Linked DNA regions of Chlamydomonas reinhardtii. Each later gene encodes a partner of the first gene's protein in a complex. Links are inferred from orthologs where the notes say so. Each region holds a gene or a part of one and is shown on either strand. Other genes may lie near its edges. The genes, in order: CHLRE_11g479750v5 and CHLRE_04g231026v5.

Region 1 (4,297 bases):
AATGGGTATCCGCATCACAGAAGCCGGGACGCAGAGCCCGCGAGGATGACAAGGAGCAGTGGGAGTGTCCGGAGCCTTCGCTATGTGGCGTAGTCAGTCCGTGGTACCTTCTTGACACGCGCGCCATGCACACACGCTGCTCTATGCCCGACCTCTGTCCTGGCCCTACCCACCCCCCTGTTTCCCAGGCCGTCTTGCAGTGGACAGTTTACCCTCCACCATCTCCACCCCTGCTCCTATTCCCCACGCCTCTCGCACACGCTCTTCCATTTTGTTCCCATCGCGCGCCCCTCTCCTCGCGCACTCACTGACACGCTCCTCACGCACCTTAGTTCCCAGCGCCCGCTCCTCCACCTTCTTGATGAACCGGCGCACCACAGGCAGCGACACGTCAGCCTCCAGCAGAGCGCGACGGACCTGCAGGATGGGGGAGAGAGGGGGTTGCAAGGCTAAAAAAGAAGCGATGATGTGTGGCAGGGCACGTGTATTGGCACAATACACGGGCAGCTGTCACCCGCGCCGCCTCTTCCACCGTCCCCGCGCCACGACCACGCCTGGGATCCCTACGCACACCGGCAACCGCCCTTGCCCTCGTGCCGCGCTTTCCTTTCCACCTCCTCCTCCTGTCGCCCGTGCCATCCTGGCCGCCGCTTCCACACAAAGGCCATACGTGCCGCGATTTCCATCCAAGCGTTCTTGGGCTCAAACCCTTAGCCCCGTGGTTGAGCTTGGCCAAGACTAACTCCACCCCACATAGGATGCAGGCGACGACTACGACACTAACCCTACACGCACTCGCTTACACAACACTTCACCCACCCCTCACCTCCTTGGCAGGCTAAATCCCAAATCCAAACCCCAGGTCAAACCACGATACACGCACTTCCCCACACACCCCCACCCCCACCCCTCCCCTCCCACCCCTCACCTCCTTGAGCGGCTCCTTCATGTTCTCCGCCGTCAGAGTGCCACTCTTGCCTGCGCGCCAGTGTGCAGGCATGTTTTAGGGACACGACATGAGCGCGCGTCCGCCCATGCACGTGCGCTGTGTGTGTGTGTGTGTGTGTGTGTGTGTGTGTGTGTGTGTGTGTGTGTGTGTGTTAAATAACGAAACGAAAGTGTGTGTGTGTGTGTGTGTGTGTACGAGCGCGAGCGAGAAGCTGGCTAGTAAGTCGACGCAGAGGACGCAGCAGCGCCAGAGGCGCGGCGGAGGCATGGCTGGGGCGCGAGCCGTGGGGACACGGTATGGTAACACCGCACACATGTCGCTTTGCGCCTGGGTACGGTGTGCGCCTTGACCATGTGTCCCGTGGAGCGCCCCCAGCCTGTGGCCCTGTGCACACGGCACCTGTGGAGTCCCCGGCGGCGCCCTGCGGTCGCCCTTCCCATCCGCCGCCGTGACTCACAGCCCCCAGCTCGTTCCTCCTATCGTCCCTCCTATCCACCATCCTATCCACCATCCTATCCACTATCCTAGCCACCATCCTATCCACCATCCTATCCACCATCCTATGCTCCTTGCCCAGCTCCTTGCCCAGCTCCTTGCCCATGTGTCCCATGGCTCACAGCCTGGAGCCGACCTGCCTACCAGCTTGTCCGTCCGATCCACCTGACACCCCAGAGCCCCCCTCTTCCACCCCTTGCCTCTCCCCCAAATACAACACAGCTTTCATGTCGCCTTGCCCCTCCCTGCTCCGGGCCTTCGTGTGCTGCGCCCCATGCTCCCTCCCTCTCCCTCCCTCTCCCTCCCTCACCCTCCCTCTCCCTCCCCTCTCCGCCCGCTCCCTCCCACCGCCTCTCCCAACCCCTCTCCCCCACCCTCTCGCTCCCTCTCACCGATCAGGCGCTGCGCCTTCTCAATGCTGCGGCTCAGGCTGTCGAACATGGCCGAGCGGATGACGAGCGCGCCGCGGCGCTGCTGCTGCTGCTGCTGCCGCTGGCGACCAAGAGCGGGGCGCGCCTGGCAGGCGGTGGCGGCCGAGCGGGGAGCGGGGAGATGGAGAGGGATAGGGGTAGCAGCGGGGGCAGCGGGGGCAGCGGGGGCAGCGAGGTCAGCGGAGTTGGCGAGGGCAGCGAGAGCAGCGGTGAGCACGGACGTGAGCATTGAATGGAGGTGCGTGCTGCGCGAAAGCGAGAGAGGGGAGAGGGTGGGCGCGCTGGTCTGGGCGGGCGGACACGGCATGAACAGGCCTGCTACTTGCCAGGCACTGCTGGGCAATAGATGGGCGTGCATGGGAGCGCCCTCGACCTGGGTTCTAGCGCGAGGATCCACTTTACCGACATATGGGCGCGTGGGGCCGACTCCGGCGACCCGCGGTAGGCACGAACACGAATCCGGAATCCCCGCGCATTCCACGCAACCAAAACTATTCGAACAAACCAGCGGAGCGCTGCAACACGCAAACCTTGCTCTGCACCCACGCTTAGGCTGCGAGGCCATTAATGGGATGTCTAGCGGACACAGGCCTGGCCCCTGCTAGGCGCCGTCATCAGACCGCAGACCAGGCTGCACACCACCCTTCCCGGTGTGCCAACAACCCTATTGCCCCCTTCCGTCAACCCCCCCCCCCAGATTCTCTTCGAGCCTTGCACGTGTCCACGGCCGCCCGGTGGTTCCCACAATCCCAGTCCCAGTACCCAGTATCCAGGGTTCCCATGTACCTCCCCGAGGTCCAGAAGGCTCGGGAGGCCGTCTCACCTGGGCACCGCTGAAGGGCGCATACTGACCACGAAGGTGAGCAGATGCAACAGGTGCAACCGCAGTCCGGTTGCAGGCACCGCGAGGAGCGGCAGAGCGGGCGCGAAGCGCAGTTTGCATGGTGACCAGCGCGACCAGTCAAGTGTTTGCAGATCTACTTGTTTTATTACCAGCCCAGAGTATTTCTTTGATGACGTAAGAAGTTAAATCTAGCGATGGTGGAATCAGGAGCAATATCTTCCCGCGCCGCGCGTAGCCCCACAGCTTAATATGTATGCTACACTAAAAGCAAAGCTTTGTTAAAATGATTCTCTGAAGACGATGGATTTGCAGTTCTGCAAGCTGCGCGGCACCGATGGCAGACCCAGATTCCCGCCCTGAAGGGGGAGGTGGTTGAATATTTTAGCATAGGTAATGCTTTCTTGAAATCGTATAGCAAGTCGCGCGAGCTCAGGTCAGCGTCGTGCCAAACCATACACGTCCCTAGGCTCGCGCCTCCGCTCGCGGTGAACCCACGAGGTGAATCCTTGCGAGGCAGCTCCCAGGGAGCAGCCCACAAAATTTCCAGCTCAGGAGTAAGGCATGTGGCTTGCAGCCTATGTGGCTTGCAGCCTATGAAGGTCCTATGCTGCGAGGGCAAGCGCTGCCGTGATGTACATGCTGTCTTTGTCAAGGTCGCTGTGCCCTCATGCCCCGTAAACATTGTTCGTAACGTTTGCAACATATTGTTTGTCAGATAGGGGATGAATGAATGGGTCATGGGCAGAACCTACCCTGGATAGGCGCACCTCCGGCAAGCCTCCTTGCCGTTCAAGGAGACTTAAGGGTCAGGGTCAGGGCACAGGCGCAATCGCCGCCATCTGCCGGAGGGATGTACGGCACCAGGTAGGCGGCAACACGGCACGCGGTCCTGCGCCACCCAGGCTACGGAAGGCAGAGGTAGGGTTCTTGGGGCAGGCGGAGGCATACGGAGGCATGCAGGGCTGCGGTTGACGGTCCGGCGGCAATAGGCCATACAAGGTGGCGGACAAGTCAAAGTCGTGAGCCTTGTTAGGTGTGTTGCAGTGATTGCTGCTTCCTGCTGACCGCTGGCGCAGCTGGCAGGTCGTGGTATACTGGTACATGTCCCAGAATGTGACGAGGGATCCACAGGATGTGCAAGTGCAGCCTGTGCAGGATGCTTGTACATCATCGATGTACTTTCGGGTGTGATGACCACCCGGCGGGGATGTAGCCATCGCACCCATGCCGCACAGTGACGCAGTATGCATTGGTTGCAAGAGGGCTTGCTGCCGTGAGTAGTCGCGAGCATTGCTACACCTAGTGGGCGTCCGGGCCAGGGGTTCCCTGGTCCGGGCAATACCACACAGGCACACTCTGCGTTACCAGAATTGGTGTGGGCTGCAACACGGTATTCCTGATCCACTCAGCATTTGTTACTGCACAGTGCACACGGCATGATGACAGGCGCTGACACGCCTACATGCGCATGTATATGATGCGGTACTCGCTCGGCAGCACCTTCTTGCCAGCGTAAAGTAAATGGCCCAATGAGATTCCCCTGAAGACCCCTCTTCCTTGCGCACTGTCCCAGTTCCG
Region 2 (4,271 bases), on another chromosome or scaffold:
AGGCGGCTCGGTCAGTCGGTTCGCCGCTGCCGGCCTGGCTGCCGTGCGACGGCACCCACCGCTCCTCTTGCTGTGCTGCACATGTACATGACACCCTCCACCCGCCGGGCAGCCAGGATTGCGCATTGCCTTCCCCACCCACCTATCCGCCTGCTCCACACGCACATATCCGCCTACTCACATACCCGCGCATACACACGCCGTCACCCGTGTCCACTGCCCCCTCCACCGCCGCCTCCAGCGCCACACCGCCCCTCCGACGCCCCCTCCAACGGCCCCTTCACCACCCCCCCTTCACCACCACCCCATCGCTGCCACCACCACACGCCACCCACGTGTTGAAGGCAGCTCCCACCCAGGTGAGGATGGGCGCCAGCTCGCGCGGCCCCTCGAAGTTGGCCAGCGACTTGCGCTGCTTGGCGACGAAGGCGGGGCCAGGCCCCAGCAGCAGCGAGGGGTAGGCGCCGATCTCAAATGCGCTGCACAGGTCCACCTGGGGAGCATGGCGAGGGGGACGAGGGGAGAGGGGAACGTTGTGGGAAGGCGCATGAGCATGAGCATTTACATGGGTTCGAGTCCATGTGGCCCCACTAACTCCTTTGAGTCCGGGGGCGCGTTAGGTAAACAGGCAAATGGCCTAGATCAATAGGAAGGCGCGGGTGTGAAGGAATGGGTACCCACGGTTTCGCTTGGAGGCCGGCAGCGCCCCTGCTGGCTTCACCTGCGCCACCCACGACTCCCATACGCAACCACTCGTGTACTAGAAGACAACAAATAAGATCCTTTGTGCGCGCGCTTGCACAAGCGATCGATCGACAGTTGCACAACCCCGCCCGCACCTCAGTTGCGCAGTCCACACGCGCGATGAAGAGTTTTCCTCCGTCAAGCTTCTGAGTGCTCAGGAACTTTGCTATCTTCTCGAAAGTAGGAGCAAAGTGTTTACACGCAGGGCACCACGACGCGTAGAACTGCAGTAGGCACGCAAATCTATGTTACCGCTATCCGCCGCTAGGTGTACAAATGCTTGGGGCCACTGAAGCTGTCCCTGGCGTGCGTACCTCAACGAGACATTGCTGGGTGGCCGTCTGCTTCCCTATAATGTCGGTGAAATTGGATACTGCAAGCTGAAGAGCAACGTGCGATGGCTCAAATACCATCGGCGTGTGGTCGTGTTGACTAGCTACAAAAACTGCCAGTTTCAAGCTCGCGAAGAGTGCGAGGAGCCATCTTGACCGCATTCTGGAGTTTATCTATCATCTATCTAGTACAAACCTATGATATTAGGGCATCGACAGGGGGTCGCGAGCCTGAAAAAAACTGACAAGGCCCTCATTGCAAAAATCTTCGCTGAAGGCCCTCGTCCTGCCGCCCTCCAGCAGTAGACCCAAAGGAGTGCTTTGATTAAATAAGTCTCAGCTCCTACGGAACCTGCAGGGGACTCTCCCGGCAAGGACAGGGGCCCCTGAACGCCGCTACTCCATTGCTAGATCCGCCTTTTCTTATTGACCTTTTACAATAAGACAAAAATGCTTATGCGAAAGCTGGCTTCGATTCCGGCCTGCACCGGCCGGAACCCTTTGCCGGTCGTGCCGAGTGTCGCGCCTCGCGCGCGACAGCTGACCGCTGCTGCTCCTGTGGCATCGAGAGTACACCAACAGCTCCTAGCTCCTGCTCGTGCGGGGCCTCCAGCGCTTGTGTATGCGGAGGGCTACAAGGAGGTCGAGGAGCTTGCAGGCGCGCGCGTCGTGGTGGAGTCGGATCCCCCGCGCGTCGAGTACCTAGTGAAATGGAAGGTGAGAGCTGGGCCGGGTGCAGCGCGACCCACCTTATGCTTCACGAGGTGTCGCGAGACATCTCCCGCGTCGACCATGCCATCCGTACCCCACCCCCCGTCCCAACCATCCTTGCTCGCTGCCCGTCAACCCCTGCCCTCTACCGCGCCGGGGTAGCGCCTAGCTGCTGCACTCTTCACCGCACTTCCTGCGCCCGGGATGCTGTCATGTGCCCAGGAGCCTGCACGCAGCTTACGCTCCCCCTCCCGCCCGCTCTTCCCGTCCCATTCCAATTCTTCCACAGGACGGATCTGACAGCACCTGGTGAGCTGGCAGGAGCGAGGCCGGGGACGGCGGCCAGGGCTGGGACGGCGGCCAGGGCCAGGGCTGGGGCTGGGGCTGGGGCTGGGGCTGGGGCTGGGGTTGGGGTTGGGGTTGGGGTTGGGGTTGGGGTTGGGGTTGGGGTTGGGGCTGACGGGACAGGAGTGTCCATGGCTGTTGGCTGGGCGAGGGTGGACTGGTCAGCAGCCGGGATGCCCCGGGGTTGAAGGGGGCAGGCACTTCCGGCGCACACGCCCCAGGCGGTTGCATTGGATCCAGCACGGCTGCACGCCTCACAGCACCCCGGCACGGCGCCGCACGGCGGCCGGGCGGGGTGTCTGGCGGCGGGTCTGGCGCACCCTGACAGAGGCGTACCGTATGGGCGCGTGCTTGCGTAGGGCCGTGTGCGGTGCTGGGTCACCCAGTCCTGTGGCCTGGCACCACACCCCACACGCCACCGCCTTCAGGCGCAGCAGCACGCAGCCATGGGCAGCAGCAGCCCAGCCCAGCCCAGCGCCGCTGCCGGCGCGGGTGTTGGGCTCGGGGCCGGGGCCCGGTTGCATGGGGCATGGGGCCCTCGGCGGGGAGGTCTGGCGGGTACCCACCCGTTGCCGTACTAGACACCGTCAGCACAACCCGCGGCTCCCAGTCCGGGGCGGCCAGCAGGGGGGCGGGGAAACAGACTGGGCGGTCTCCTCCCGCCGCGCCGCACGTAGCCTGCAATCAGCACTCCCTCGGCGCACTGCCTGGGCGCACTCCCTGCCAACACGCGCCCCCTTTCACACGCCCCCTTGCACACGCCCCCTTGCACGCTCCCTCCCTCCCTCCCTCCTCCCTCACCCTCCCGCCGCCGCTGTGCAGGGAGGTGGCTGCGGACCTGTCCGAGGACCTGGTGCGCGACTTCGAGGAGAAGTGGTGGGCGGCGGCACGCAAGGTGGGAGGCAGCAGGAGGAGCGGAGGGCGGAGCTGCTGTGGGGAGGGGCGTAACAGGGCATGGATGGGAGGGCGTGGGAGAAGCAAGAGCTGGGAGGAGCTGGGAGGCGAAGGAGGGGTTGACGTCAGGCTCAGGGCGCACGCCGTGGTGTTGGGGTCCTGACAGTGAGACAGCTTGCGCTTGTTGATACTGTGGCCATAGCGGAGGGGCCTGACATGGAGACGGCGCAGATGCGGGCACCGCTGGGGTCAAACCGCGGGGGCGGGGTGGGGGAGTGAGGTGGGCGACGGGAGAGCCACCCCACCTTTAAGGCAAGATGTGGCCGCGGGGCAGGGGGCGCTGCTGCAGGCGGTGGTCATAGGCAGGTGCGGCTGGCCAGGGATCAGGGGCCAGGGGCCAGGAACCAGCGGCCAGGGGCCAGGGGCCAGGAACCAGCGGCCAGGGGCCAGGGGCCAGGAACCAGCGGCCAGGGGCCAGGGGCCAGGAACCAGCGGCCATAGCGTCGTGCTGCGGCGTTGAGTCGAGGTGATCGGCGGAATGCGGGCGTGCGGGCGTAATGCCACCATCCCTGCATTCGTTACCCACCCCACCCCACCCCACCTCACCCACCCTACCCCTCACCCCCCAGGCTGACGTGGATGCCATGATCAAGATGCTGGGCGGCGGCCGCGAGCTGCTGGCGCACGTGGTGGACGAGAACAGGCGCAGGTGGGGGCGGGGGTGAGAGGGCAAAGGGGGGCTACACGGGCGTGGCGTGTGTGTTTCGTGACATGTCGGGCGGGGTCGCTTCCTGGTGGGGCGAGGAGGGCGAAGAATGGGGAAGAGGGGGAGTGAGGATAAACGGGAGGAGGGCGACGTGAGAGCTCACTAAGGAGAGAGGGCAAGGGGCAGGTGGGGGGGGGGGCACCAGGGTCGTGCCTGGGGCGTGGCGTGTTGGCACGGCGGCACGACCCAAACACCCGCCTCCCACCGCGCAAACCTACCTACCTACCTACCTGCCCACCCACTCCCTGTCTGCAGCGCGCTCCACTTCGCCGCCGCGCTGGGCTCCGCCGAGTGCACACGGCTGCTGGTGGAGGCGGGGGCGGAGCTGGACCTGCAGGACAAGGAGGGTGAGCGGGGGGAAGTGGGGGAGGGAAATGGGGAGCGGGGGAGGGGGAGGTGGGAGGGGGAGGGGAGGTGGGGGCCGAGGAGGCGTGGCTACATGGAAAGTCCGGGCCCAAAAATAGGTCCTGATTTAAGGG

The links.
Region 2: the proteins of CHLRE_11g479750v5 (region 1) and CHLRE_04g231026v5 are in contact, whole or in part, in an NMR structure (PDB 2HUG), measured with the Arabidopsis thaliana proteins. The link is inferred for Chlamydomonas reinhardtii from reciprocal best matches to the Arabidopsis thaliana genes CPSRP54 and CAO. Residues at the interface, in NP_196014.1 of Arabidopsis thaliana: Pro532, Gly533, Thr534, Ala535, Arg536, Arg537, Arg539, Lys540, Ala541, Asp542, Ser543; in NP_566101.1 of Arabidopsis thaliana: Glu268, Tyr269, Ala270, Glu271, Val272, Lys283, Val289, Trp291, Glu298, Trp299, Val300, Lys301, His304, Val305, Ala306, Val309.

What each region holds. Positions count from the first base shown.
Region 1 is NC_057014.1:3,241,430-3,245,726, reverse strand, and holds the start of CHLRE_11g479750v5 (uncharacterized protein), read right to left. Parts: upstream 2,982-4,297; 5' UTR 2,819-2,981; coding exon 2,699-2,818; intron 1,961-2,698; coding exon 1,837-1,960; intron 979-1,836; coding exon 929-978; intron 418-928; coding exon 328-417; intron 1-327.
Region 2 is NC_057007.1:3,927,181-3,931,451, forward strand, and holds the start of CHLRE_04g231026v5 (uncharacterized protein), read left to right. Parts: upstream 1-1,345; 5' UTR 1,346-1,526; coding exon 1,527-1,793; intron 1,794-2,076; coding exon 2,077-2,096; intron 2,097-2,954; coding exon 2,955-3,027; intron 3,028-3,655; coding exon 3,656-3,735; intron 3,736-4,047; coding exon 4,048-4,139; intron 4,140-4,271. Other genes in the region: CHLRE_04g230928v5 (uncharacterized protein), read right to left, coding at 336-493, 840-968, 1,059-1,157.